2 linked regions of the Struthio camelus genome follow. The protein of the gene in region 2 interacts with the protein of the main gene of each other region in a pairwise test. Links are inferred from orthologs where the notes say so. Each region holds a gene or a part of one and is shown on either strand. Other genes may lie near its edges.

The links.
Region 1: the proteins of ANKS1A (region 2) and DOK3 interact in a two-hybrid assay, tested with the Homo sapiens proteins (2 studies listed by BioGRID and IntAct). The link is inferred for Struthio camelus from reciprocal best matches to the Homo sapiens genes ANKS1A and DOK3.

Annotation. Positions count from the first base shown.
Region 1 is NC_090954.1:9,775,166-9,790,395, forward strand, and holds DOK3 (docking protein 3), read right to left. Parts: upstream 6,334-15,230; 5' UTR 6,250-6,333; coding exon 6,193-6,249; exon of another isoform or gene 5,856-6,192; intron 4,603-5,855; coding exon 4,309-4,602; intron 3,888-4,308; coding exon 3,794-3,887; intron 3,703-3,793; coding exon 3,530-3,702; intron 3,449-3,529; coding exon 2,702-3,448; 3' UTR 2,651-2,701; downstream 1-2,650. Other genes in the region: PDLIM7 (PDZ and LIM domain protein 7), read right to left, coding at 532-636; probable ATP-dependent RNA helicase DDX41, read right to left, coding at 7,067-7,203, 7,472-7,582, 7,879-7,950, 8,117-8,266, 9,148-9,244, 9,577-9,648, 9,830-9,961, 10,067-10,229 and 9 more. UniProt on the Homo sapiens protein: DOK proteins are enzymatically inert adaptor or scaffolding proteins. They provide a docking platform for the assembly of multimolecular signaling complexes. DOK3 is a negative regulator of JNK signaling in B-cells through interaction with INPP5D/SHIP1.
Region 2 is NC_090965.1:5,425,899-5,440,905, forward strand, and holds the start of ANKS1A (ankyrin repeat and SAM domain-containing protein 1A), read right to left. Parts: upstream 6,833-15,007; 5' UTR 6,808-6,832; coding exon 6,614-6,807; intron 1-6,613. Other genes in the region: TAF11 (transcription initiation factor TFIID subunit 11), read left to right, coding at 9,264-9,464, 9,567-9,706, 10,093-10,180, 10,582-10,678, 11,702-11,832. UniProt on the Homo sapiens protein: Regulator of different signaling pathways. Regulates EPHA8 receptor tyrosine kinase signaling to control cell migration and neurite retraction.

The sequences.
Region 1 (15,230 bases), on a different chromosome or scaffold from region 2:
CCTCTCTGCCCGTTCCAGGGCCAGAGGGAGCTCGGACGCGGGCTGGAGCTGGAAGCCGAGCAGCAGGAGGGAGGACAGAAGGGCTGAGCCCGCTGCACGAGCCCAGACCCCAGGAGGCCAGGCCCAGCGTCACAGTCCGGACCAGGAGGCCAGCCCCACGGCGCGGAGGCTAGAAGAGCGGCTCCCCTCCCCCAGCTGCCGGACAGGCTCCGGAAGAGGCCTCCCCTACCTCCCCCAGCAGCCAGAATGACTCTGCAGAGGCTTTGCAGTACTTCAAATTTCTGCTGCTCTTCTTGCCCGGAACACCCCCGGCACGCACGTCCCCTGCCAGACGAGGGCCGATAAGGCAACGGGGTGGTGCAGTAGAGGCTAAGCGGAGCGAGACCACAGCAGGACCCAGCACTCCAAGGGTCCCACCTCATCCACGTCCCCATACAGCTGCCGCCTCAGTCACCTGGTCCCAGCAGCCACAGTTTCCTACCCGCAGAGGTAGGAACAGGATGGGCGTTACCGAGGCTCAGCTTCTCTTACCCTGGAGATGGAGAGCGGCATGCTGAAATCCTTCCCTCCCTGCAGTCTGAACCCCCAGGGCGCGGGGCCATCCAGGATCACCTTGTAGGACTCCACATCGCCCATCTCTGCAAAGGAAGAGGGTGCGATCCCGGTGTTACGCTGCACGGGAACAACGCAGGGAGAGCAGCCGAGCGGGGCCCCAGCACCTGGCAGGATGGGGCAGGAGGAGACAGGTCACGCTTCCAGGACCGGCTCCACCCCGACTATCCCACACTGCAGTTAGAGACGCACCCCAAATCCATCAGCATCTCCTAGGGCTGAGGAGCCCAGGCTAATGCTGACTAGCACAAAAGAGCCAGACACAGCTGACTGCCACGCTCAGTGCACTCACGGGCTCTGCTCTCCCTGCCCCAAACCTGGGGCACGCTCTCCCTTGCAGTACGCACAACAGCGCCCTGGAAGCTCACGCTACTGAGAGCCAAAACTGTTTCAGACCACGGAGAAGCAACAGCGGGTGTGGAAGGATGGAGACCAGAGGCGTTTTCGCTGGGTGAATTAGCAGCGGCACAGTAGCTGCGCGATGCCAACCAAGCGGACTGGCAGCGCAGCCAGGCTCGTGCTGCAGCAGCTGGCCAAACAGATGCTACCTGGGAGGCGAGCCCATCTCTGCGCGCAGAGCCGGGGCTTCAGCGAGGAGGGAATCCCTGCCTCTCCCTGCGCGCCAGCCGGGACGGCGCTGACAGCTGTCAGCCGGCCAAGGCACGGGGGGCACACGGGCCGGCCCCAGCCTCCCAGCCGCATCTCAGCCAAGAGGAGCCCTCCCAGATCTTGAGGGGCCCCTTCGAGACCCTGCCTCCTGCCCCCGCAAGGAAGGGACAAACCCAGCGCCCCGAGGGCCGGGGACCTCGGGCTCCTAGCCGGGAGGCAGTGGAGGCGCAAGGGCCGGGGGCCGGCGAGCCCCCGCTCTCCCCAAGCCCGGGCGGGCTATATAAGGCTTGTAAGATGACACCAGCGTGCTCCCCGCTCGGGAAGGCTGGGTGAAGGCTGCGTGTCAGACATTCCCCAGCACCGAGCAGCCGCACAAACCGGGGCAAGGCGCGGTGTCCTTCGGGGCCGGGACCGTGGCGGTCTGCCCCAAGGCGGCCGGCAGCGCCCCACACGCCCAGGTCAGGGCTGGGGGGGCCCCAGCAGCCAGGGGTCTCCGGCAGCCCTGGGGCAGGGTGCTGGTGGGGGGCAGAGAAGTGATCTGGAGGGATGGGGTGGGCCCACACAGCCCCTCCGCGAGGGGTTACGGCCACGTCCCATGGGGCTGGCGCAAGGCACCTGGGTGGCCCTGGGGCACCCACTCCTGATGGGCAGCCAGGCTGGGCCCCCAGCCCTGCCCCACACAGGCCCCCCCCACTCCCTACCCCTGCCCCCCTACCCTGCCCTATACGGGCCCCCCTGCTCTCTACCCCTGCCCCACACGACCCCCCCCCCCCGTTCCCCAGCCCTGCCCCACACGGGCCCCTTGTCCAGACGGGGCCAGCCAGCCTCCCTGACCCCGACCCGGGGCCCCCCTCCCCGCCCCACACAGCCCCCTGCGCAGGCCGGACTGGCCCCCTTTCCCACAGCTCGGGCCCCCCCTCCAAACCCGCGGCACCCCGTCGGGGCGGGCCCCGAGCCCCAGCGCTGCCCCACACGGGCCCTGCCGGAGCACTCTGCCTGCCTTCCTCGCACACAGGCCCCTACCCGGCCCCATGCGGGCCCCCAGCCGGATGAGCCGCCCCCGCGCCCAGGCCCGGGCCCCCTGGCAGCCCCGGTCCCGCCCCGCGCTCACCTGCGGCCGGGCCGCGCCGGGCCGCCCCGGCGGAGCGGAGCGGGGCCGAACGGACCGAGCGGAGCGGAGCGGAGCGGAGCGGAGCGGAGCAGCCGGACGCGGGACTCGAACTCGGGGCACCGCCCCCGCCCGGCCCGGCCCGCCTTTAAGTACGGCCGGGGGTGGGGTGGGCGGTGCCGGCGGCCGGCTCGGCCAATCAGCTCGCCGACCGCCCGCCGCGCCGGGGCGCGCACGACGGCGCCCCCTGACGGCGAGATGCGGGCGCCGCAGGCGCAGCGCGGGCGCCCCCTCCCACCCGCGAGCAAGGACGGAGCCGGCTCGAGCGCAGCCTCTTTATTCACCGTATCGCCAAGGCCCGGCCGGCCCGGCTCACAGCCAGTCCCGCTGCCCGGCGGCAGGAGCCTCCCTGCTCAGCAGCCGGACGAGCTTGGCCTTGAGGTTGCCCTGCGGCTTGGGCCCGGGGCGCCCCGGGGGCTCCTCGTGGGCACAGCGCCCCGCCGGACCCCAGCGCTGCTCCGGGGGGCCGGGGGGCTGCGGGCCGCCCCACGCCGCCGCCACCGCCTCCCGGTTGTCGTAGATGGGGCCTGCCTCGCCGCTGTGGCCCTCGGGGGCCTGCCGGCACCCCAGCTCCCACTGCCCTTCCTCGTGCTCCTCCTCCTCCTCCTCTGTGCGCCCCAGCTGCGCCGCAAAGATGTTCTCATAGAGGTGCTCGGCGGCCGGCTTCCCCGCGGCCCAGGGCTCGCTGGGGCCAGGCTGCCCCAGCCCGAAGAGGGGCTGCTGGCCCCGGGCGATGGAGGCGTAGATGATGGGGCCGGTGCCATCGGGCTCCGAGGTTGGGAAGCGGAGGAGGCCCAGGGCAGGCTGGGAACTGGGCTGGGAGCTGGGCTGCACCCTCCCTGCGGCTGGCCCAGGCTGCGGTTCCTCAGAGGCGGGTCCCCGGGGCTGGGGCTCGGTGCCCGGGATGGGGATCCGGGTCTCCGGGGCATCCTTGTCCTGCTGCTGGCAGGCGATGGCGGTGGCCACGGCCCGGCAGAGCTCCGGGGCCCGCGGGGTGCTGAAGGTGAAGGTGCCCTCGCCAGAGTCGCTGCGGCGGCCGGCCTCGAAGGAGAAGACTGTCTGCGAGGTCGGAGGGCAGGGTGAGGGGCTGGCGCCCACCTCACCTGCCCTAGGGAAGTCAGGGAGCGGGGCACCACCTACCTGGTCCTGGCCAAACTTGCGGAGGAAGGAGTAGGGCCAGGTGAGCAGGGGCTGGCGGGACTGCGGGTCCTTCAGCGTCAGGCTCTGGGGGAGAGCTGCGAGCAGGTAGTGCCCGTGCAGGCCGCAGCGGGCGGCTGCGTCCGTCCTGAGCACCAGCACCAGGAACTCTGTCACTGCGGGAGCAGAACGGCACCGGGATCAGCCCTGCCACGCTGAGCTGCTGCCCGCCCCAGCCCCCTCCGCCACCCAGCCCATGGCACGTACGGTCCTGCCACGAGGAGTAGAGGGAGTTCTCCTCCATGTGGACGTCGGAGCCGGGCTGGGTCCTGGCGCTGCTCTGTGGCACCTCCTTTGCACCCTGAAACAGAGGGATGTGAGAGCGGCCCCCGCCCCGGGCACCCTCGTCCTGCAGCTCGGCCCTGGGGCTGCTCCGAACATGCCGCGGTGGCACAAGGCGCGGGCAGAGATGGGGCAGCGCGAGGGCCTGCAAGCAGGGCTGTAGCACCTCTCCCTGCTGCACACGTGCAGTGGAAACTCTCCCAGTAGGGGCCTGCCTTCAAAACCACCCCCGACTAGTCCCCCCAAGGGGACTCATCCCTTCTCCTGCTGCATCCTGGCCCCATGCCCCAGCAACACCCTCCACCCCAAGGTGATGGCCAGGGACCAAGGGAGGGAGCCCCCCTGGCTCACCCAAACCAGGAGCAGGGTGAGGGGGGTCCCAGCTGTGCAGCCTGCCCACCCCACTGCTCGTGGCCCCGCTCACCCCAAAGACGCGGTACCTGGAAAGCCAGCTGGCAGAGCTGAGAGATCCACTCGTCCCGCTGCTCGGCCGCCAGCACATAGCTCTTCTCCGTGGTGTTGAGGTAGAAGGCAGCGGTGGCTTTGGGGCAGCTGTCAGTGCTGACGGGCCCCACGGAGACGCAGTCCGAGAGGCGGATCACCCGGCGGGCGCACCTCCGCAGGGAGGACTTCTCCAGCACCGTGCCGTCATCCCGCACATCAAACTTCTCCATCCGGGCCACGCCGGACGGGCTGGCAGCAAAGAGCTGCGCTCGCATCTTCCTCCAGAACCTCTGGGGTGCAGGAAGGGCACAGACAAGGGGAACAAAAGGTCAGCAAACAACTGCCTGCTGCATCTTCACCGGCACTGCCCTCCTTATCGCGTCAGCCAGCACAGTAAGGGCTCCAGCCCATGCTTGGCAGGACAGGGCACGCCGGGCACACGCAATGCCCTTCCCGCACCCCTGGCGGGGCTGGGCACACTGCGCGTGCTGGGGGAGGACACAGCAAGCAGGGCCTTCTCAGGTCCCCCAGCACCCGCAGGCCAGGCCAGCCCCAAAGCCAGGGCTGCCAGCCGCCAGGTCAGCGAGGTGGCCAGCCTGGCCCTCCAGCGAGGTCGGCTCCGCTCGCCTGGTGAGTCACGCTCGCCCTCGGCTGGGAAGGGAACCCAGGCATCCTGCCCTCTGCTCCCTGCTGCAAGTGCTAGCCTGCTGCTGCTGCAGCTGAGCCTCTTGAGCTGTTTTCAGGACAGACCATGATGCAAATTAAAGCCATTTTGAGCTGCTTGGGCTCCTGCAGGCAGCTCACACCTACCAAGTACAGTTAGTCCCTGCAGCTAGCAACCCGCTTCCTCCCAGGGGACGCTCTGTGGTACCAGCACCTTCCCAGCCTGTCATGGGATAGAGAGGGCGCTTCCCCCCCACACACCTCAAGAGCACAACATGGCCTCCACCCCAGTGAACCTACGCGCAGCCGAGCACCCAAAATACCCGCCACCGTAAGCCCACCTGCGTCCTACATGGCAGGGCATCGGCCTCTGCTCACATAGGGGTCTGCCCACTTCAGCTCTAGGACTCAGCTCTCGCAGGCAGGGAGACTAGAGCAGCTCCGTGAGAGTATCGAAGGCACAGCCGTGGCCCAGCACGTCCACTGAGCACACGGAGGGTTGACTGCACCCCACGGGCTCTAGGAAGGGGCAGAGCCACCCCGCTGAAGCAGCGGGGATGCTGCTGGGCACGGTCAGCGAAGTGGTGGGACCTGCCTTGTAAGCACCATCTCACAGCTCCTACCAGGACTCCAGTAACATAACCCATAACGTGCCCAGAGGGTTTTGGCACTCAGTGCCCATCCCCAAGGGCTCAGCACACCGAGCAGCTGGGCAGCGAGTCCAGCCCTGCGGCTGGCTTTTCCCACAGCACTGCCCCCCACGGTCAGGCTCTTCGAAGGCTTGGCGCACAGCAACTTCCTATGTGTGGTCCCACCACCCCCAGGAGCTGCAAGGGGCTCCCACCCCTGCTGCCCCACTTGCACACAAGCACCGGAGCTATGCGTCATTAACACACGTTTATTGTTTCATCGCGAATCGCGTGGCGATCAGGCAAGGGGACAGACCCTGTACATGGGGGTCAGTGTGAGCAGAGGCCTGCTCGGGGGAGTCCCCTCAGCTGTGGGGAGAGCCACCTTGCCCCACTCCGTTACAGCTACAGAGGCCAGGGCCCTCTCTGCCCTACCCAAGGGGTCTGGCTCTGTCGTTCCCCTGCCGAAGCTGTGGAGGACCCAGTATTCCCCATCCGGTCAGGGCCTCCCCCAGGGTCTAGCATCAAGGCAGAACAGGGCAAGACAGAGCTCTACAACCCACCCCAAACCCACCCTCCACCTTTTACCTTTCCAAATTTGCTGTGTTGCACATAGAGGATCCCATCCTTCACAGGTCTCTCCATGGGCACAGCACTGCCCTGGCAGCCAGTGCAAGGATCTGGGACTCAGACCATCAGCAGCAGAGAAGTGTGACTGCTGCAGCTGAAGCAACTAAATGGGGCAGACTTCCTTTTCTCAGCGACTTCCCCTTTTTGCTGTGTGGGATGAGGGGCAGGCTGGGCCACAGGAGGTGTCCATCCTCCCTCCCCCTCACAGGAGGGCAGTGGGGCAGAACACATGCAGCAAGAGCAAAGGAAGCTCCTAGGGGCCTGCCTGACATGAGCACAGCATGCTCTGCCCTGCCCTGGCTGCATCAGGGCACAGTTGCGGGTAACAGAAACTGCCCTGGTCAGAGCACAGCAGAAAGGAGGCAGCCACCAGCTGAGAGTGCACAACACGAGCTGCGGGGGAACAGTCCCAGAGGAATCCAGGGGCTTTGGAGGAGAGCAATGCCAGACCCCAGCCATGCCACCACGGGGAAGCTGAGTAGGGGCTGCAGACAGCTGGCCACAGAGCAGCCACCCCACAGGCACCACTACCCGCTTGCCCAATGCTTCACATCAACATGCCGCTGATGTAATGGGCTGTTGCAGCACAGCTCCTCACATTTCCTCCTAGAGCAGGAGCTTCAGCAGGCTGAGCGGGCAACAGTCCCCAGTGCCCAAATGCTTTGAAAAGGAGCCACAGCGGTGCAGGACAGGCCTGCAGTCCGGGCTGGTCTGGGCTTTGGGAAATGAGGGCAGCTGCAGGGGGGACAGCGCTGTTTGCCCAAAGAGAGTCAAAGCTCGGCCCTCTCTCCCAGCCTCGGTGGAGGCAGCACTGGGCAGCAGCATCCCCAGGCTAGAAGTCCATGGAGCTGTGAGCCAGGTAGTCTTTGCGGCCGATGTTGCTGACTTGCTTCGTCTGCATCGCCTCCAGCTTGGGGCAGTCAGTGATGCGATGGCCCAGGCCACCGCAGAAGGCACAGCCCCGTTCATCTGCAATGGGAGGAGCAAGGTCAGGCAGAGCCACACCACACCAGGCAGGAGGGTGGCCCCCACCCCAGGAGCAGAGGGCTAGGCCTGCAACTCCCACCCTGTCACCAGCACTGGGCCATCCACGCAGCCAGGCAACAACCACCCCGTGGCAGGCAACCCAGGGGGCAGCAAGGACCCTGGAGCGATGGGAGCTGGGCCTTCCTATTTTCAGCCCAGGTCACTCCAACAACCCTGCCGGAGCTCCCTGTCCCAGCCTGGGGCCTCTCACCTCCGATGTCCAGCATGGTCTCATCCCCACAGTGCAACACCTGGAGCACAGGAGGCACCTTCTGCTTCGCCTCCAAGAGCAGAGCCTTCAGGTCCATGAGCACTGACTCATCTGGGGGCAGAGACACAGATCAGACGCAGCCCAAGCAGGGGCCTGACACAGGAGTGCCCCAAAGGAGGGCCTGCGGGGCCCTGAGGCCAGCCAGAAGCAGGGCAGCACTGTCCCATGCCACCGTCTCCCCTCCACGGGCCCTAATGACTTAGTCCCTCTTGCTTGGGAACACCACCACTGCCGAGGCAGAGGCAGCTCATGGGGAAGCAAGTGACTTGTCCTATCACCTCATATACCTACAGCCCACTGTGCGGGCCCTCGAGGCAGCCCCAGCCCAGCCCCATGCCATTTCTCACCACAGGCCTTGTTGATGAAGGTGGTAGCAATGCCAGTGTTGCCTGAGCGGCCTGTACGCCCAATACGGTGAACTGCAGAGAAACAGACAGAATCAGGCCTGGGCAAACGCAGCCCAGGCAATGCAGCAGGAAGAGACAGCCCCTGCCCCAGCCACTGCAATGGCAAGCACACAGCCCTGCTGGCCTGCACCCACCCAGTTGTGCTCCCACAGTTCCCCTGACAGGGCCCACTCCCCACCGTAGTTCTCAATCTCCTCTGGCATGTCATAGTTGATGACATGCTGGATAGCTGGGAAGTCCAGGCCTTTGGAAGCTACGTCAGTGGCAACCAGGACATCCTTCTTCCCATCCCGGAAGGCCTCGATGGCTTTTGTCCGCTCCTCCTGATCTGCAAAGGACCAGCACAGAAGATTAGCAAGGGCAGAGCTCCCAGCTCTACTGAGCCCTATGGCCTCAGAACCAAGCATCACTCACAGCCCAAGCTCTCCCACTTTGAGAGAACCCACACATCCTTTCCCTAAATAGAGAAGCAGAGGGACACGCAGGTCCCTCACTATCAGCATCCTAGACCTCCCTTGTCTCATCCCCCGACACAGAGAAAGATGCCTAGCTGGGTGCAAAGAGATGGAGCTCAATCCCATGCGCTTCACCACACTACAAACTCAGCCAGCCTTGCAGCAGGGCCCCAGCATGGGAAGCCCCAACTGCTCCCAGGCTCTGCTGCTTAGGCTAAGCCGCCGTGCACTCGGCTCTGTGGGCTTAGCTCTCCCTCAGATGAGCACGGTGCCACCCAGCACTGTGGCAACACACGGCTCAGCCAACGCAAGCAGCCTGGCAAGGCGAGCTCCCCCATCCTGACAGATACAGAGAGCAGGGTTCAGGGAAACAGCCCCGGAGACAAAGCCAACCTAGGCATGTGCAACTGTGCACAAGGACCCAAAAGGCATTTGAGAGCATATTTAACGACAGCCATGCGGGAACTGTGCTGCGTTTGTGCCTCCTACGCTACTGAACGATGCCCTCACTGACACGTCCCATGTAAAACGACCATGCCTGCTTCCACCTCGGCTGCTACCCTGCTTCATACCCAGAAAGAAAGGACACCCCTAGGAGCCCCCGACATTGCCGCAGTCCTTCCTCAGACCGTTGTGAACTGCTACGTGTTGGGACCTGCCATACTCGGCTACCACAGTGGCAGAAGCAGGGTGAGAGACAGGGCAACATCTGTCTGGGCAGGCCCAGCCAACACCTCCCGACACCCTCACAGACCTTTCCCTCCATGGATGGCCACAGCTTCCACACCCTTGAGCAGCAGGTACTCATGGATTGCATCAACATCTGCCTTCTTCTCCGCAAAGATCAGCACCTGCCACAGCACAGGCATCAGGGAAAGAAAACGGCCCTTCTGCTTGCTGCTACTGCTAGGAATGGGCACAACCTCCAGAGAAACCCCCTCCCTCCTGCTGAGCAGACAGAGCACGCAATAGCTCTGGGCCCAAGACCGTACACAGAGTATGGTCACTTGAATGCCTACCCCCAAACATAGCACTGCCTTGAACCATGCCCTGCAACATCAACACCATGTCCCCACTGACAGCTCGAGGACGTGCAGCGGTCAGCTAAATCCATGCCCCTGGGCTGAGGTTCACCCACGCAGGCCCAGATGTGCTGTTAGAACAGCAGGAGCGCACTACTCACAGGTGGTGGGGTCTTCTGCAGGCACTCGAGCAGGTACACCATCTTCGCCTCCTCCTTCACATACTCCACTTCCTGGGAACAAGCACAGGGACAGGTCAGGCAGACAGCAGAAGGACTACTATCGGCAGGTGTCGCCTGGGAAGGGCTGCCGAGGAGCGCCAAGAAGCCCAGCTCTCTGGCAAGCAATATCAAGCGCACTTGTGAACTGCACTGGCCTCCCACACAGGCATACGGGAGCACCCAGATACCTCACCTGCACAACATCCAGGCTGGCAGCACCTGCTCGCCCAACGTTGATAGTGATGGGCTTCACTAAGGCGCTCTTGGCAAAGTTCTGGATCTTCTTGGGCATTGTGGCACTGAAGAGAAGGGTCTGCCGCTGGCCCTGCGCAGGGAACACAGTGCAAGTAAGGATTTAGCACTCACCCAAATGGGCAGATGCAGGGACTGAGCCCCAAGGTAGGATGTTTGTATCACGCCAGCTCAGTACCTTGAAATAGGAGAAGATGGTACGGATGTCTCCCTCAAAGCCCATATCGATCATCCTGTCAGCCTCATCCAAGGCCAAGTACCGGCAGATGTCCAAGCTCACCATCTTCTTCTGCAGCAAGTCCATGAGGCGGCCAGGGGTTGCCACCATCATATGTACACCACTGTGGGACAAGTCAGGCAGTCAGGCGCCTGCCCCACACAGCAACATGTAGGGAAAGGATCAAGGAGCAACTGCTCAGCACCCACACTCCCTGCTCCAGAGCTCATGCTGTGGGCTGGAAGGCCAGTAACATCTGCCTGGGCCCTCACCTTCACCCACCAGGCCAGCCCGGATGCCAGCCCTTAGTTCCCTGCCAGAAAAAAGACCACAGCTCCAGCCCAGCAAGACCCCCCACACTAGGTCTTACTGTTTGATCGTCTCCATCTGCTCCTTGACAGACATGCCCCCAATGCAGAGGGCACAGCGCAGCGGGGGCAGCCCGTCCTCCTGCAGCAGGCGGCAGTAATATTCTATGATGCCGTGGGTCTGCCGGGCCAGCTCTCGCTGCAGACAGAAAACTATTAATCTCCACGCTCTGCTTCTCCCCTCATAGCCGCAACTGTTCCCACTGAGTATCAGTAAAAGCTTCCTGCCAGGCTTCATTGCACCCCTGCAGCAGGAAGGGGCCCCAATGCACTCACAGAGGGACAGATGATGAGTCCATAGGGGCCCTCTCGTTTGGAAAATGGCAGTCTCTTCTCCTGTTCCAGGCAGAACATGATAACGGGAAGGGTGAACACCAAGGTCTTCCCAGAGCCAGTGAACGCAATGCCAATCATATCCCTTCCTGAGAGGCTGTCAGAGATACAGGGCTGAGCGTGAGCGGGAACATCACAGAATGGCTCCGACCTGCAGGGCAGGCTGTGTGCAGGGTGAAGGGGGTTCCACCCATCAGCAGGGAAAAGCACCCAGCTGACACCACCAGGTGGGCCGTAGGGAGCAGAACATTCCCCGCACTGGGACAGAGCACTCACATGGTGGGGATGCCTTGGATCTGTATGGGTGTTGGCTGCTGGATTCCTTTTTTCTTCAGGCCCCTGAGGATAGCTGTCAGAAAACAAGGGACAGGCACGTTCAGAGCCTGAAGTTTTCCCCTGCTTTCCTCCTAACTCATTTCTCAGAAGCAGCTCTTTCATCAGTGATAAACATCCTCCAGGCCAGCAGCTAGATACCTTAGGAGAAATGGCTACCATCTCGAATTTAAGCTGCGATCCCACTATCAGAGCATGAAGGGTCCGCCAAGTTCGCTCGCCAAGGCAAGTTTCCCATGAGAACGCTACTCCCCCGCCCTCGCCAGCCACGCTCCCACTCCCAGCCCACCTGCTGGAAACTTCATCTCCTTGAAGCTCTTGATGGGAGGGGGGATGCCCTCTCCCTCCACAAGGATGTGGTACTTCTTGCGCACGCGATCATGTCGTGCTTCTGACATGCCCAGGATGTAACGAGGTGCTCTCCAGCTGGGGAGGCAACAGGAAAAGGTCACGGTGCAGAACAAGCCTGGGGCTCCACAGTCAGTAGCCCCAAACAAGGCACTGGGAACTCCCAGTCTGGCTCTGATGCTCCAGTAGGGAAAGCAGGTAACCCCAAGGGGCTTCGCGTGCAAGCGGGTGGGAAGATCCAAGCCTGCACCGTGCATTTAACATTTCTCCAGAGAGCGAGTAACAAGTCCCACGCTAGCAACTGAGAACAGTCCACGAACGATGGATATGGCGTGCCAAAGTCTTGTGGACGCATCTCATTTCATCAGTTCCCTGCCACTGCAGGGCCTTGAGCAGTGCTGGTTCCCTGGGCTTTCCCAGTCTTTTTCTTTAACTTAATCTTCCCCAAGAAGTGAAGATCCAGCTCAAGTCTTTAAGCTTAACGTAGATGTACTCTTAATAAAGCTTACTCTCTTACCATATGTAAAGTAACATCCGAAATGACCCTATAGTCTTTGATCTCACATACCACGATAAGATGCCAGGCAGTGCAGCCCAAGAAGAACCAGTAGCCACAGAGCAGCACGCTGCCTACTAGGTTGCATGGCTTCTAGTTCTTTTCAGCTACAAGGAAGTGATGTTTTCAGAAAGACAACACCTGTATTGTAAAACATACCTGGTTTTAATGGGATCATCATACGTGATGCCCTTTGCCATCTCCTTCACTGACATCAAAGCTGCAGGAACAGACCCAAAAAGATCAGCGCAAGCTCTCTATCTCCAGATGCATACCACTTCAGCAAAGCAGCACTTGGGGCAAAGGTTTGGGGGACCATATTCAGAGATGGCTGACAAACAGCAGTACCCCAGAGAGCCCTTCTGGGCACAGAAATACGAGGTGCTGCAGGCCTGGTGTGTCCAGGGGGCAGCAATAGCAAAGTCTTAAAATTAAGTCAAACAGTCACATGCCTGTTGTGGGATCCTGCTATGTTTTCCTTTCCCATCCCTGGATGTAAACGTCGCCAAGCGTTGCAAGCCAACTGACAGTCTCTCTGCTGCAGCGACAGCTCTGGAGACCAGCGTGAGGGACACAGAGCTCCCACGACTCACCTCGTCCCTGTGCCACACTCTCCAGGATCTTCTCTTCCTCCTTCAGCTGCTTCTCCTTGGCTGACTCCTTCCGAGCTGAGGGGAATCAGGGAATCAGTGAGGAGGCTTCAGCACCCTGGAGCCACCCAGCCCTACTGCCAGCTGTTTCCCTACCTTCCGCCTTCTCTTTGAGGTGCTGGTGCTGATCCAAGAGGCTGATGTTAGACTGGGGCCCCAGGGGGATGTCATCCTCGTCGCCCCGCTGCTCGCTCCCGCTGTCCCGCTGCTCCTCCTCTGACACCACCTTCCGCCGCATCTGCAGCAGCTTCTGCAGCTGGAAGGAAGGGGGGCGGGCAGGGGTTGGGAGGGGGCCCGCACCGCCGCGGCAACCCACGGCCTCCCCTGAGCCGGCCGCGGGCCACCCCTCGCCGCGGAGCCTCCCGGAGCGCCGTTACCATCTGCTGCTTGCGCTGCTTGACGGGCACGTAGGGCACATAGTCGTCGTCCTCCTCCTCCCCGGACAGGCCCGACGTCTCCGACGCCTCCTCCCGCTGCCTCTGTGGGGACACGCGAGGTGAGGCCGGCCCGGCAGGTCGCTGCCCGGCGCCGCGGGGCCGCCCGGAGCGGAGCAGAGCGGGCCCGGCCCGGCCCGGCGCGGCCCTACCTTCCTGTCGGCCGCGGCCTCCATGGCGCCGTCTCCACGCAACGGCCGCGCCGCCCCGGACGCGAATCCCGCGCGGCGGAAGCGGCTGCCGCGGGGCGGGCGCTGTCTCGCTTAGCAACGGCCCCGCGCGTGACGGCAGCGGGAGGCGGAGCTACCGCCCGACGGGCCGCCTAGAAGCCCAAAGTTCGCCGGAGTGCGCGAACAGACGCCTCTCTCCCCGCCCCCAACCCGAGTGGGCCCAGCCCCGGGGCGCGGGGACAAACCACTAAAGAGCTGGGTTTAAATAAAATAAAAAATTAAAAAGTTCTTTATTGGGTCCAGCACGGTCCTTCCCCGCAGAGCAGGGAGCCGGGTGCCCGCGGGTGCAGAGGGGGGGACGGGACGGTGGGGCGCGTGCCCGGAGGGACGGGGCCCGCCGAGGGGGCGAGCGCCGGGGCCCCGCGGCGGAGGAGAGCACCGGCCCCACGGCGGCGAGCCGGGGAGCCCCCGGGGAGCAGGGCGGGGGGCACAGTGAGGAGAGCAGAGCTGCCGTGGGTGGCGGGGGGCTGCCCCGCACCTCACTGGGCCGCGCTCGAAGTGGTTTTCTTCAGGGTGAAGTTGGTCCAGTTCACGGCCACCTTCTGCCGCGTCTGCTTGGCAGAATCCAGACAGAACCTGGCCGGGGAGAGAAGGGACCTGGGTGAGCCGGCAGCTTCCCCATCCAAATCCCCTCTACCGCCCCCAGCCCCACAGAGCCCCCCCGGGCAGGGCGCACCCCCGCCCCATCCCGTCCCCTGCGGAGGGTCCTCGCAGCCAGGTGCTCCCTCACCTCTTGAAGTACTCCACTTCTCTGTCAGTCTCGTCCATCTCTACCCCGTCTAAGTCCTTGGGCAGGAACACGTCATCTGGCAAAGCAGAGGAGCGCGGAGTCAGCGCGGCGCCGCGGCCCCTCAGACCCTCGGCTCCCTCCGAGCGAGCGGGGAGGGGAACCCCCGTGCCAGGACAGGGCAGAGCACACGGGAAGGGGACGGCAGCTGGCAGGGAAAGGAGCGACCGGTCACAGCACAGCAGGCGAGGAAGGGATGCGATGCCGCACGGAGGCCGCGGCGCAGGGCAGAGCTCCCGGGACTCACCGATAGAGGTACTGGATTTCTCCACCTTGTTCCGGCTCTTCCTGCTCTTGCCCTTGGGTTGGGGGGAGCCCCCCAGGGCAGTGGGGTGAGGCAGCTGGCGGTCCCCAGCAGCTGGGGGAGGCGGCTGCGCCAGCTCGGCCGGCTCCGCTTTGCCCTCACCCCTCCGGCCTTTCCAAACGCCGCTTCTCTCCTCTGGCCTAGCGCCGCTGCAGCCCCAGGGCTGCCCCTTGCCACTCTCCCCCGGCTCGGCACAGCTGCCTGCCCGCTGCAGCTCTGGGGCGCTGGGCTTCGAAGGGTGCTTGGTTCCCAGCACCTGCCCCTTCGCACCAGGGCTCTCCAGCCTGGCCTGGCCACCAGGCACTGCAGCAACGTCCCCCTTCTTCACCTGCCCGCTCTGCCGCTTGTTCTTCCGCTGCCGGCCCCCCGCAGGCATCTGCTCCTGCGGCTCCGGCCCCTTGGGCTGCAGTCCCTCCTTGGGCTCTGGGCTCGGCCCGTCGCCCTCCGCAACAGAGTCCGTGGCCTTGGACTGCACCCAGATCATCCGGGAGAGGCTGGGCACAGCGCTGAGGCGCTTCACCACGCCGTTCTCAGCTGCTGGGGCTGGCAGCGGCTCCCCGGGCCCCTCGCCCCATCGGGGGCCCAGCTCGCCCCGCAGCAGCGCGTGGCTCTTGGCAGGGCCCAGGCTGAGCGGGGCAAGGGCCAGGTCTATGTCCTGCAGGTCAGAGGAGCCATTGAGGTGGGAGAGCAGGTTCTTCTGCTCCAGGACAGCTGCCTTCTTGGGAAAGTCGTTGACATCCAGGTTGAGGTCATAGACGCTGAAGCTAGCCCGGATGGAGTCC
Region 2 (15,007 bases):
CAATCAGATCAAAATAAAAAGCTTTTTCTGATTTGGCTGTGATACAATTCATCATTAGCACTACTAGCTAAACCTACTGAACGCAGCCTGATATTTCAGACCACAAATTGTTTCACTGCTTCCTGCCTCTAGCTTTGCAATGAAGCAGAAAACAAAATTTTAAATTCTGTAGTCCCTATGCGAAGCCCCTCCTTAAAACCCTCAGACTTGATGGATTTGCAAAGCATTGTAATTTTTGGACTTGTTTTTACTTATAAGCATTAAGCTGTGTTTACATGAAGATGATACTATCTCTAGATGCTCACTGATCAACAAGAAGTGCTTTTGCTACTGCTGCGTTAGATACGTTCTGAAAATGGAAACCATTACTACACCATCAAGGAGCGGAGATCGGAGGACTACGGCCCACACCACGTTCCTGGAGCTGCTTTGGCCGCCTTCCAAGGCCGCAAACAGATCATAACGACCACGTTACGCGAGTAGATCCTAGGGGCAGCTGGAGCAGCAGCACAAATCCTCAAGGACTACTGGCAAGCCACTTCCTCCCCAAACACTGGCAAGACACGGCCTCCTTCTAGGTCCCACCGTCTGCCTTGTCAAAAGCCAGAAACTCATCTCCCTCTTCTTTGCTGCTTCTTATCCTCCCCATACCCTTAACACTACAACCTACCACTTGTATTCCTTTATCCACATTAGCACCCCTTTCCACTAGGGTGTATTTTCCTGCCTAATATTTTTAGGGTTACATAGTGGCACATTTGCCCCCTAGGGCGAGGCTTTATCTACCATTCTACCTTTGGTGCTTCCTTCTCATTTGACTTATCACAGCCTATCATCTCTTTCTTCCTGCTTATCTGCAGAATTTTGTGATTTCATTTGGAGATTATTCATGTCTTTCACACCCTAGAGGACGCAGCTCAGCGATCTAAGCAGGAAGTACAAAATCCCCAGATCCGACAAAGTTCACGTTTAAATTGTAATATGCTTAACGGCCCACTATTTTTATGTGCGGTGTATCTAATTCAAAACTATTTTTGGGACCTATCTCAAATGCTGTAGAACTGCACAGAAGGAATGGGCCCAATGCCTAGGAAAGTGAGATGTTCTTGCGAGAATAGGTAGTGCAAACAGTGAGACAGTTAAAAAATAGAAACTGAAATAGCGCACTGACATCAAAAAAGACCTGAAATCAGCCAGGAGAAGGAACAAGGGAGCTCTGTCAGCCCAGTAGAGTGTTCATAACCCTGTTCTTGGCAGGAGCTTCAGGGGACCCAAGGACAGCTGAGCAGCTCCATAACCAGCAGACATCTTTTGTAAAGGATATGATCTAGATCATTAAAGCCAGCTTCAGCAGAAATCAAAATGACTTCACAAAAAAGAAACCTGCCAAAACTTGTTTGAGGAAGGGAAAATATGAAACGTACCAAACTGACCAAGGAAAAGTTTCTCCACCACAACCAAACGGTAAGCAACCCCAAATTAGAAGAGGTCTCACTGGTAAAGTTTCTTATACCCTGCACATTCCTAAAACTTGTTAATGTAACCTGTCTTTTCTTTACAGTTGATGCAGACTCCTTCCCCACAAGCTTCACACCATCCTCTCGCCTTGCAGGCTGAAGGCAGTTTGGAGAAGCAGCTGAGCGAGTGTCATTCAGAAGCTTTTCAAAGGTTTCAAAGCTAATAAAACATTGCATTTAGCTGTTAAAAAAAACCACAAGGGCATTTTGTGCCAGAAGCTTTCAGCAGGACCCACATCTGAACAAGGCTATAAGGAGTCCTGCCCCAGGTCTTGACACTTCCACATTTCAGATGACAAATGACAATGATTTGTAACCTAAATTCTCCTAGATCCAACCTTATCATACACACAAAAAAATAAATCCCTGCTCCCAATACCTATTTTGTGATTTCTTTATCTATTAATACTGAAAGCAGCTACTGTTTAACCAGCTTTCCTGCTGTAGAGTCTGATAAAGAGTTAGCCACCAGCTGAAGCACCTTAGCCTTCTCCATCAATTTACTACTTTCATTAATGCTCCCACTTAATTGTCACTATGACACTCTCTCAGCACATTTCCAGTCCATATTCATTGTTTTTAATTTAGAAAATGCATCTAATCATCATTAGGAAAAAATCAAGATACAGAAATAAGATTTAAGGGAAAATACTTCAACTTTAAAGTTACTCCAAAGTTATTCTTGACCTGTCACACACCTTTGGTACTGTCCTGCAGAGAAGGCAGAGGGTGCTGGGGCGGACCACAGCCAGCACTGCTTCTGCCACCTCCACCCATTCACTCTCCCTCCCACAACACCAGTTCCCTTTAATTTGCCCCCTTCGACTTTCCTTTAAGTGTAAGGCAGACAAACTTCCATATTTCTCTTTTCCAACCCCTTGAAGTTATTTTAAAAAGGAGCACAGAAAGGCAAAGTTAGCTATAATTAAATACCTTGCCTACTGCAGAGTACTTCTTGCCATATCCTCCCTGCCCCCAGGAAGCAGGGAAACCACAGGTGAAGATGCTCCCAAGGAATTACACACCTCCAGAGATGAGCAAAGTCAGTAATCAGGTCTTGGCACCAGGGGCAAGAGCCAGTTTCACACTTCACAGAGTAAACACAGACCAAAACAGAGACAGGATGACACACAAGAGAGGACTGTCCAACTTTCTTCTCTGATACGTTGAGGCCACTTGGAAACTTGGGGGGTGAGGTGGTTGCTTTTTTGTTTTTTGGAATGGAAACTCAATCCCCACTGCAACGATCAAAATCCAATTTGTTACTGTTCTACTAAGGGGACACGAAGGAGTGCGGTTGCTGCTATAACAACCCCCTAAAGAGAGTCAGGTCTCAGAGCCATCTCATAGTCCCACCAGGACTCCATAGGGTTATTGCTGCTGAACAAGCCATACGAACTGAGTTCATGCTACAGAAAGCATCAGCTTTGAACACTGCCCAGTTTGTCCCAGTTGCTCCCCAACCAATTGCCAGGCTTCTCATTGCAAGTAAACTTAGTGGCCGTTCCTCACGAAAGCCTTGCATCTGTAAAACAAGCATAAGTGCTTTTTTCCCCACTTAAAGCCATTTAAGCCAAGTAAAAGCATAACAAATTGACAGGACACCAGAAATCATCAGATAGCCTCTAAATTGTCCAAAGCCCATTTTCAATCCCTGAAAGCATGTTCTCCAGACACCACAGGTGGGAACACAGCGGCTGCATGCCCAGAGCGACCACCTGAACTCTTGCCCCAACTATCAGGTAGCAAAAAGTGCCGACAGGTAGGAGCAGACCAGCCTCAGGACCACTCCCTAGGGCTTGTAACATCGACGCCTGGGAAGACTGCAGCCACTGCATGCGCAAACATAGTGTAAAGGTCACGATCCGAGCAGCAGGACTAACATCAACATGGACACGTCCATGCAGATAGTCATACATCAAGGGATGCTACTGCAGATTCCACACACACCAGGTTACCACACACACCCCGCAAACACTGAGAATCCAACACGCTTCCAGGATGAGAATCGCTATCATAATCACGCCCAAATTTTTACTGTAACCCAACGGCAGGCAGCAAAAGGTTTAAGAATCAAGAGGTTTGGTGGGTGTTAACTAAAAGACTTTTAAGACTGTCAAGTAAACGAACACAGGCAAGGCTATGAATGACAGCTGACATTCACCATCCTTCAGACATATCTATACACCACACTATGTTTACACGTGAAAAAAACAAGCTAACTGATCAGATGTCAAACAGCCTCCCCACTCCACAAATCAACTGCTAGCACAAGCAGTTGTCTTACCAGGAAAAAAAAAGAAAAAAGGCATCATTACTACAGGGTAGCATGGCAGAGCTGTTAGAACAAGAGGTTGATAACACTTGTGCTGTGTATTTAACTCAGCTGACCCTCTCCACTTTATCTAAACACCCTACAAGTACATCTATCTTCTAACATAGATGAGCTTGAAGTGTTCAGAGCAATTTCCCACTCAAAACAAGGACTCGGTGTGTTTAATACATTAAAAGAGAAGTATAAAGTTCAACCTAAGAACACATTTACATTTGAGACACCAACATATATATCAGCACTAGGAAAGCAAAACCCGTCCACATCACTGTATCTCTGCCAATCAGTTTGAAGTGCAACAGCAGATTTCCAATAGCGTTTTGTAAAAGGAAAAGTGGATCCAGTTTAGCCACAAATGGGCAAGTCACATCCGTCTGAATAGTCAAGCTATACAGTGACAGTGTCACTCAGCAGTGGACTCAGTCGCCGCCTCCCTTCCAATACAAACAGGGAGCTCAGGGAACACGAACGGCAGCAGTTCCAGCAGAGGAGCCGAAACTGCAAAAAGCTGCAACTTGAGAAACGCACCAGCAAGAGGTTCCCTTGTGAGATGCCGAAAAAAAGGGAGGAGAAAAAAACTAACAAAGGTCTACAAGCTTCAAAACAGAGCAAGTTACATAGCACGGTACTTTAAATGCCAAAGCAAAGGGCTATGCCCTACGTACGTCTGTGCGGCACAGCACCACTGACCCCCAAGCCTGAACAGCCACTGCCAATTCGAGAGCCATAACAGCATTTCAGCAAGCAGCGAAAATTACAGAGAAAGGGAGCACACGCGTGAAACGAACACAACGAGAGCAAGGGGGGGAGAGGACGTCTTGCTGAACAGCCAGCTGCACATCTGCCCCACTAAATTCATCCAGCAGCTCCCCTCACTGCAGGAACACACGGGCACAATCCCGGCTGCAGGTCTGCCAGCCTCTTCTGGCATCCTAACCCAGAGTCCCGCTCCCCTTGGCCAAACACAGCACCTTTTCCCTGGTTCGCCAGTCCCCAGCTACCCGCCGTTACCAATGGCGTACGTAACCCTGTAGCGGTTTAAGCCCTGGGGACACATCACCGGGCAGCTCCCCACGCCGGGAGCACGCGCTCCAGACAGCCGCGTCTCCCGGCTCTCCCAGCCTCCCGCCGCCGCCGCCAGCCCCCATGGATCCCGTAACACCCAGGCGGCACCAACGCCGCAGGGTCTCCCCCCGGCCCAGCCCGTGCTTCCCGTACCCCCGTCACGGCCCCCTCCCTAACGCCTCATCCCACCCCCGGCCCCACTGCCGCCGTCTCCTCGCCCAGCTCACGCTGGCTCAGGCTCCAGACCTCATCCCCCAGCCCCACGGGCACCCCCAAACCCGCAACCCCTGCAGCCTCCCCCCAGCCCCTGCCAACAGGCCCCACAGCCCCACGCTGCCTGCCTCTCCCACCTCTGCCCCCCAGCCCCATACGCCTCACCTCCCGCCCTACGGTCCTAAAACCCCCCAGCCGCACACACCCCCTCTCCTGCCCCACAGACCCCCACCCTCCTGCCCCACAGCCACCTCCGCCCCACAAACCCCAATCCCTACCGCCTACCCCAGGCCCCCGGACTCCACAACCCTATTTGCCCTCAACGCCGTGACATCCCACCTCCTGCCCCACAGCCCAACATACCCCCTTCCCCACAGCCCTGCAGCTCCACGCACCCCGCGCCTCCCGGCTTCCCAGCCCCACACATCTGCTGCCTCCCACCCCCCAGCCCCATGCACCCCACACCTCGCAGCCCTCCAGCCCCACACATCCACTGCCTCCCACACCCCACGGCTCCCAGCCCCACACCTCTGCTGCCTCCCACCCCATGGCCCCCCAGCCCCACGCATCCGCTGCCTCCCGTCCAATGGCCCCGCAGCCCCACGCATCCGCTGCCTCCCACCCCCCAGCCCCACACATCCCATGCCTCCCAGCCCCATGAATCCACTGCCTCCCGCCCCACGACCTCCCAGCCCCACACACCCCGCTCCTCCTGGCCCCCCAGCCCCATGCATCCACTGCCTCCCACCCCACGGCCCCCCAGCCCCACGCGCCCCTCACCTCCCAGCCCCACTCATCTACTGCCTCCCACCCCGCAGCCCCCCAGCCCCACGCACCCCACACCTCCCAGCCCCACGCACCCCACACCTCCCAGCCCCACGCACCCCACACCTCCCGGCTCCCCAGCCCCACGCATCTGCTGCCTCCCACCCCACAGCCCCCCAGCCCCACACACCCCACACCTCCCAGCCCCACGCATCCGCTGCCCCCCACCCCACGCACCCTACACCTCCTGGCTCCCCAGCCCCACGCATCTGCTGCCTCCCACCCTGCACCTCCCACCCCCCAGCCCCATGCATCTGCTGCCTCCCACCCAATAGCCCCCCAGCCCCACGCACCCTGCACCTCCCAGCCCCACGCATCCACTGCCCCCCACCCCACGGCCCCCCAGCCCCACGCACCCTGCACCTCCCAGCCCCACGCATCCACTGCCCCCCACCCCACGCCCCCCCAGCCCCACGCATCCACTGCCCCCCACCCCACGGCCCCCCAGCCCCACGCATCCACTGCCCCCCGCCCCACGGCCCCCCAGCCCCACGGCCCCCCAGCCCCACGGCCCCCCAGCCCCACGGCCCCCCAGCCCCACGGCCCCCCAGCCCCACGGCCCCCCAGCCCCACGGCCCCCCAGCCCCACGGCCCCCCAGCCCCACGCCCGCCCCAGGGCCTACAGCGTCTGGGCTCCCCGCCCCCCGCGGGCCGCGCTCACCTGAGGAGACTGGACAGCGGGTGCCCCACACCGCCGCTCCCGCCGCCACCGCCGCCGCCGCCTCCCCCGGAGCCGCCGCCGGAGCCGCCGCCGGAGCCGAAACCGGAGCTGAGCCGCTTGCCCGAGAGCAGCTTCTCCACGGCGGGCAGGTTCCCGGTGCGGGCGGCCTCCAGCAGCTCCTGCTCCTTCCCCATGGCCCGGCCCCGGCCGCCCGCCGCCGCCGCCGCGCCCCGCCCCCTGCGCGTCCTTCCGGGGCGGGGCCTGACGGAGGGCGGGGCCTGGCATGGCGGGGCCTCTCGGCCCGCAGCCACGCCCACGGCGGGGGGAGGCGTGGCCTGAAGAAGCTCCGCCCTACAGGGGCGGGACGCCCCCCCGGCGGGATGGCAGGGCACCGCCCCCTCGCCCCCCTCCGGGGCAGGGGGGCCCTGAAACCGCTGTGCGTAAGGTCCCGGGGGCCCTGAAACTCCCACGCGTGCGGGCTAGGGGGGCGGGTCCGAAACTCCCACGCGTGCGGGCTGGGGGGCCCGACCCGCCCCACCCCGGTGCATGAGGGCCGGATGTGCCTGCGGTGTTAGTGGCTGTGCAACGCCCAAAAGGCGATTTACACCTGGCCTCGTTAGTTCCATAAATCCCTTAAATGACTTCCAACTATTTTTTTTAAGGGTATTTTAAATTAATTTTGCTTTGGCTCATTTTATTCGTTAAAGCTAAGGAGTCTGCTACAACCGCGAAAGGGAGGGACGTGAATAACGCAAAGGTAGGGTTACAGCACGCGCTACGCAAAGAAAGGGACCGCCTTTGGTCTAGCCCCAGCGCTTTCTGCATTTCCAGGGTTCCCGTCGCTAGAGCAGTTGGGCATAATATGTACAAGAATTAATTCCTAGAACAGTTTAAATAAGGCACGTCTCTGCCAGGGCTCTCGTTCTGCGCGTCTATTGGCGAAAGAGACACGAAAAAGGAATATTCGCAGGCTATTTCTCAGCCGTTGCCCATAGCAAAGGCTTCTGGGGAGGAACGGTGCTGGTGCTCTGCTCTGGCTGACGATCGCTCTTCAAGGGGAAGCAAAACAGCCAGAAACAGTTGTCCGCGATGGCAGCCTACGAGCTGGCACGCAAAATGATTCAAATGCGGCCAGGTGCTCCATTTGAACAGCACGTTAACAGCATCAGTCCTCTCAGAGAGCCAGCCTCGGTCGCTGCCCCTCCAAGCGGAACTGAAGTGGATTTGCCACAGTTTTGCTCAGGCAGTTTTCAGGTCTCTGGCTGGGGGATATCCCTTACCCAGCGCAGCCTGCGCTCGAGAGACGGGAGATGAACGTCGTTCACCTTGACCTCACCTTGAGGGAAATACATAGGAGGACACTTACAGGAGATCACAGCCTTGGTGCCCGCCAGAAACATCCCCTGCGTCGAGGTGCCACGCGCTCGTGCGGGACTCCACGTGCTCCAGCGCGCGTGGCAGCGGCCATACCCTGCCTCGCCAGAGCCCGCAGGGGAAGCTGATGCGTGAGAGGGCCGCTGGAAATTACACATATTTAGCTCCTTTCACCAGAGGCGCTCAGAGTATTTTGCAAGCTGGAATTAATCCTGTAGCCCTGTGAAGCTGGTCAACGTTATCACTACTTTTCCATACAACAAACAAAGAAACAAAGAAGCAGCGTCAGAATTCCCAGGCTTGAGGAGGGGCTGGGGGGGCCGGGAACGCGGGAGTCCCGGCTTCCCCGCGTCTCGCCCCAACCTTGCTGCTCCCTGCTGTGTCATGTGGTACCCTGTTAGACGGAAACAATGCAGAAAATCATTGACTGGCTTAGCCTTTCCAAATTGATTCATGCTTCCAAGAAACAAAATCAGCAGGAGATCCTTGCCAATGCCTCAGAGAGAGCTGTTTTGTTGGTGACTTTGATCTGGGTTTGCAGAGCCACAGACTAAAGCGTGCACCCAGACCCTGGGCTGTTTCCACAGCTCCAGACCCCAGACTCTGTCCCTACCGTAACACTTTTCCTTCTTAATATTTAACTTTTTTCCTATTTCCGTGCAAGAACGCCACGCTGAGAACGCGCTTCTGCAACGACTCCAGCAACTCATCAGTGTAACAACCGTCCCCTTGCTCCAAGAGCAGGAAGGGACACGGCTGCCCCTGTCAGCACGTCCTGCCCCCCGGCCGGAGCCAAGCTCCAGGCCCTGCAGTTCGGCTCCCTACTGGCCTGGCCTCTGCCCCCCGCTGCGTCACCCCCCGCGGCGCCCCAATACGCCGGGGCTGACCCCTGCCTCTCCCACCCCAGGAACCCGGTTCCCCCCAGCCCTTCCCGCCCTGGTACCCCAGTACTGCCCCAGCCCTTCCCACCCCCCTCTCCCAGTACCCCCCAGCCCAGCCCATCCCGCCCCAGTACCCCCCAGTACCCCAAGGCCCTCCCTCCCACAACCCCCACACCGCCCCCGGCCCTCCCCACCCGCTCTCCCAGTACCTCCCAGTCCCCCCCGCCCCGGCCCCATCACTCACCCCCGGGCAGGCCTCGTTGCCATGGCGACAGGCCCCGCCCCGCCGCCGGCAAGGCGCGGCCCTTCGCGGCAACCGTAGCGGTGGCGTCATCAGGAGGCGTCGCCGCCGCCGCCGCCGCCGCCGCCGCCGCCGCCGCCGCCGTCGGGGAGCGATGGCGGAGCCCGACTCGCCGGGCCGTGAGGAGCTTGGAGCCTCCGCCCCGGAGCCGCCGCCGGCCGCTGCCTCCTCGTCTCCCCCGGGCCCCGGAGCGGCGGCTGCAGAGGAGCCGGCAGCCGCGGAGGCAGCGGCTGAGGGCGAGGCGGGAGAGGCCGGCGGGGGCGGCGAGTCCGCGGTAGAGGCGCAGGCGGGGGAGGTGAGGCCGGGCCGGAGCGAGGAGGGGGCGCGGGGGGGTCGGGCCGGACCGGGTCGGGCCGGGTCGTGGCGCCGCCGAGCCGAGCAGTGCGCTCTCGCCCAGGTGAGGAGCGCCGAGGGGGAGGCGGTGGACGGGGAGGACCCGAGCCTGCAGCCGTCCGCGGCCAAGAAGGTGAAGCTGGAGCTGAAGGAGAGGAAGGAGAAGAAGCACAAAGTGGACGAGGACGAGATCCAGAAGATGCAGTAAGTGGCGGTGCGCCGGGCCGGGCTGCTCCCTGGAGGAGGCTGGTGCTCCCTAGGGCACAAGTTGCTGTATGGAGTTTGTCTCTAGACACGCTGACTGCGTAGTGAACCTCTAGCTGTTTTATGAGACTGTTGCTGATGATTTCCCTAGTTCTTTCCCAGGTCTCTCCCCTCCTGAATGGGCCTAGCCATTTTGCATATAAATTTTAGTACAGCTGGAACAGTCTTTCCCTTCCTGGCCCTCTTCTGTACTGTGAGAGGTTTGGGGTGGTAGGAAGGTTCTGCGAGACTTTCAGTAACCCAGTAGCCAGAGATGTGCTAAACTTTTTTCTTTTTTCTTTTTTCTTTTTTTTTCCCCTGTAAACAATCAATTTTTTCCACCCCAGAATACTAGTCTCTTCCTTTTCTGAAGAACAGTTGAATCGTTATGAGATGTATCGTCGGTCTGCTTTCCCCAAAGCTGCTATTAAACGGGTATGGTTTTAATAACGCTTTGCTATAGGGGAAAAAATATGAGCAAAGTGGGCTGGGTTAAAAGGCTGAGCCTTACCAAGCCTGGCTATAGAACTGCAGATTTAAGACTTGCATAGGGTAAGAACTGGATCCGCTGTATGCGCAGGCTGTGGATGCACCTTCTCTTCCAGCTGCTTGTCTCAGCCTTCGTGGCCGAGACCGTTGTCCTCAGATCAGCTTATCTGACCCTGTTCGAGCTTACTGAATTTGCATGGCTTATGCAGTTTAAATGGGGGTCTCTGCCAACCCATTGTAATTGAAAGTGGTTAGGGTGCGTGGGGCAACAGATAGAAGTAATGGCTAGTACTTTCGCTGTTGCTGCGTACTTCATTCAACTGACTGTCTCTTCCCTGCTTGTCAAGCTAATCCAGTCAATTACTGGCACCTCTGTCTCTCAGAACGTGGTTATTGCCATGTCCGGCATTTCCAAGGTCTTCGTTGGGGAGGTGGTGGAAGAAGGTAAGTGGAATATGTTATCGTGGGGCAAAAAGGTTAAAAATACAATGGTAAATTCATTGCTTAAAACCAAGCAGAAGGATATGAAACGAGACTGGGAATTCTATTGGTTCCTCAAAGGAAAATAACGTCAACATTCTTGCCACACAAATCGGCGTGTGAGCAGGCTGCAGTAGGGCAGTCAAGATCTTTGCTAATGCTGCTGTGGACAACAAATGCAGCCCAGGGAAATAAGTTATTTAGGCCTCTCATCTGTAAGACTCAGGCTTTAAACAATGAGCCGAGATCTCTTTGGGATATCCTGTAGAAGGCTGACCCAGCCAAGTACCTGGGTTTTTTTTTTTTCCCTTATTCACGCTCCAGGAGGAGACAGTACTGTTTGTTCATGCCATCTGCTCAGTACAGACTTGTCATGCAAAACATGTGGCCTATACATGCAGGGATTACCTTATCCAGGATGATGCAGTTTGGCTGTTTCCCTGCTGCAGCTCTGTGTGTTACCTGAGGCAGTTTGGATAAGCAGCTTCACTGCTGTACTTAATTGCTTCATGTCCTTGGCAGGAGATGTAAACAATGCTTATTCTAGCTGATGGAGAAGGAATTGGCCTGTAAGTCCATTGTAAATTGTACCTTCCTATTGCTCCTACACATAATGACCCCAAAACCTAATCCCAATCTAGAGGGGTTTTTAAAGTGGAAGGCTTAAGATCATAAGGCATTATTGCCAAGTTCTTGCATGACTTAAACTAGCGTATTCCATAGCTGAAGCTGTTTGAGAAGTGGTTTATTCTTGTCCAGTGCTGATGCCTCTAGGACTAACTTTTCTTTTAGTCAAAGAGAAACACATAAGGCAGTTTCACTCTCATGCATTAATAAAATGAGCTTTAAACTCTGAACAAGAGAAAAGTTACCTTTTGCCTTTGAAATTTAAAGCTCAAAACAGTAGGAGGCTTTTCAGGTATCATCTGTTAAGAGACTGGCTCAGCTCAGCTGTCCTGCTTATGTGAACTCTTGTTTTTTGTTTAGCACTGGATGTATGTGAGAAGTGGGGAGAGCTGCCACCTCTACAGCCCAAACACATGCGAGAGGCAGTCAGGAGGCTCAAGTCACGGGGACAGATCCCCAATTCCAAATATAAGAAAATCATCTTCCACTGAAGTATCTCAACAGCATCATGACAAGACAGGAGTTAAAGCAAGCTTCCAGTTGGGTACTGCGTAACCTCAAGAGTCGTAGCAGAACTACGAGGCTTAAGCGCTCCAAGCTTCTGTTGTTGCCTGCCCGTATCGTTCTCCGAGGACCTACAGGAAAACAAACCTTGATGCTGAAGTTGCACTCAGTCCAGCTTGATTTTTATGTGGCTTGTTTTCAGTTTACAAAATGTAGCCGTTAATACTCTTGGCATGGCTGATGGGGTAGGAGGACTGAGGAAAAAGCCCTGCAGATGAAGCTCAGAGTACCTCTGTATGGGGTAATGCAGTTACCCCATTGAGCATATTTTGGTATTAGAGCCTCCCCTTCAAGGAGCCTGTAAACGTTTTATTGTGCGTAGACTTTCGTTTAGGCAACTGTGGTGAGGCTTCCTAATGTAACTGCTGAAATCTGGCTTGTGATCTTAGCAATGTGCAGAAGCAGGCAGCAGCCAAACAATTGTCTTAGGGCCTCAGGGTCCCATACTTCAACAGACCAGGGATAGAAACCTTCAGGGGCCTCAGTGTGTTTACCCAACAGGATCATACTTTCTGCTGGCACAGATGTAGTGGTGTGTAGGTACAGAAGTGTCTTTTTGTACATTAAACTTGTTACTGTTTTCATAGTCTGGCTGGGATGTGAATAGTTCTTCTTGCTCTGGAGAGAGCAGTGAAATACTAATTGTGTAATTGTGTTTGTGTGATCCCAAGTAGGGAGAGTGCAATGTGACGATCTGTCTCAACCAACCCCAACATGTTTGTGAAGCTTCACCTTGCCTCTGGCACATATTGTTCTATTAGCATAAGCCAGGGAATGCATGCTGAAAGCTGATGCTGAAGTCAGCACTCAGCTGTTCTTCCTGAAGCCAGTTTTATGGAGTTGTCTAGAAAACAATAGTTAGGAGTATGGAAAAAATGGAGGGAAAGGAGAGAGGAAAAAAAAGCATGCACCAGTAAGGAGGTTAACAAGTTTAATTCTTCATGGTTCATAGAACCAGTAAATGCATGAGTGGAAATATACTGCAACAAAGTTCCAATACTGCCTAAGTCTCAAAATCAAGTTCAGACTTGTACATTACCCATCTGTACATACAGTATTCCCCTTTGAGCACGCTTCTCCTGCTAACTAAATGTAAGAGATGCTGAGGCCATGTGCTCTCCCTAGGGTAACTGTATTATAGTTACACAGAGGATTAAGTTGGCTCTCATCATAACACAGAAAGAGTCCTTAAATAAAAGGCTTTTAAAAAGTAAACTTTGCTATTCATCAGTCAAGACACTGGAGTTCTTGTACTCCCCTGTTCCACATATACACCATGTAGGAAGTGGATTTTTTTTCAGATCTTCTTACTTTCTAGAATTTTAAAAAAAAGTGGAAGTGGTTTAATTTTTCTTAAACAGAACACATTGAGTTAAGTTGCTGGAGCAAGAAACTTGCTGTGGATAACTTGGCCCCAGCTCTGTTCACCCTACGCACACGGAAGGGAGAGGTAAGTAGTTCTGTGACACTGCAAGTAGGCACCTTTTCACCCTACTCCTTTCCCAAGCTGGCTGTAGATGAAGCTTGACACCTACTTAAACAAAAAGCCACGAAAATTTGAAAGAAAAGACAAGCGTCCCATTTCAAGCAATTAGTGAATAAAAAGCAAGAAGAGCACTGCATTCCACCTAAGGCAAGCATTCTTATATGTCTTGCTTCACAGAGGAAGAGGGAGCAGGCACAGAAGCACATAGGTACAAAGTTCAACTTCTGTTTATGGGGGTTTTGTGCAGTTCACAATGTTGTTAGTTACAATTAGCTGTTTGCATATGGGCTTGTTTCAGAGCACATCTGTAGATACATAGATGCTTTGTTACCTCCTTTCTTACTCTGAGAGCTCTTCACAGCAATAGTCTCATCTTTACTACTAAAGGTAACTTGCATTTCCAAACCCCTGCTTTTACTCCTGAATTCCTCAATGCATGAGGCAATACTGGTGAAAGAAATGCCCGCTGATGCTTAAAAAGTTAAAGTGCACTTTCCTCTTGAGAACAGGCCTGACAGGCTGCTCTAGTTCATTTTCCATTGCAGGCAGTAACACAAATCTATCCTGTCAAAGGCTGCTCGAGCAGGGGATGGGTCATAGGGGGGTGGGGGTGCTCCAGAGAAAACAACATTGTCTGACAAGAACAAGGAGGAGTGATCGTCTGCTGTGGAGAAAAAGAAACTCACAGAAGTCACAGCATCCAAACAGCAGCTCTCGCACAGGCAAAGTGGACGGTGAGGGCAAGCACACCATGCACCGCTGCAGAGCCCTTTGAGTTCAGCTCCCCTGCTTCTGCCAAAGGCAAATATTCCTCCCTTGAATTCATTTGTGCCTGCCTGCTTCCAGAGTTTCTAGAAGGAAGGTCAAGCTTTTGCAGCTGCTGTCATATCTGATTTTAGGCACTGGTTAGGCGCATCTTGGCAGACAAAGCAATGGCAGAAATACTGGACTCCATCAGTATAGTCTGCCCCCAGGCTGTCTGTTCAAAGCTAGCATACAAGGACTAATTCCAGCAAATGTTATTCAAGGCTACCTTCAGTCTAATGGATTCAAACACTGTTTAGTGTGTTTTACACAAAGTTTAGATGATGATGATCTGAAGAGCAACAGTCACTTTTATCACTCTTTGTCTCTATCCTATTCTTTTGCATACCCTCTTTCTTTGGAGTAGAAACTAACAACTGCAAGGAATTAATTTTTGGCTCTTCATAAGCCACAGATCACCAATGTCTCCAAACCAAACCTAGCACTGTACATGTGTTTCCCTTCCCCCTAGAGCTAAAGAAGAGCTAAAATGATCTCAGGAGTCCCTGTTAAAGGGAAGTGTTCAGCAGCTCCAGAGTTGGGCAAAGGGACGAGTGTATAAGAGCACAGTAGGAAAAACAAACCCAAGCTCTTTGCTTTCTTCAGTTTAGCCCCCAGATCTCAACTCATCATGGCTTGTACATCAAAGGCTGCTCCTTACCCAGCAAGCAGGATTCAAATCTTATATTACTTTAGCTAAACCGATTTCAATGGAATAATGCTTAAGTAGAAAAAATAGCAAAAACCCATAAGAATAAGGTTTTGGGGAGTGTGCTCAGCTAAGAAACAAAACGGGCATTGCTTACCTCTTA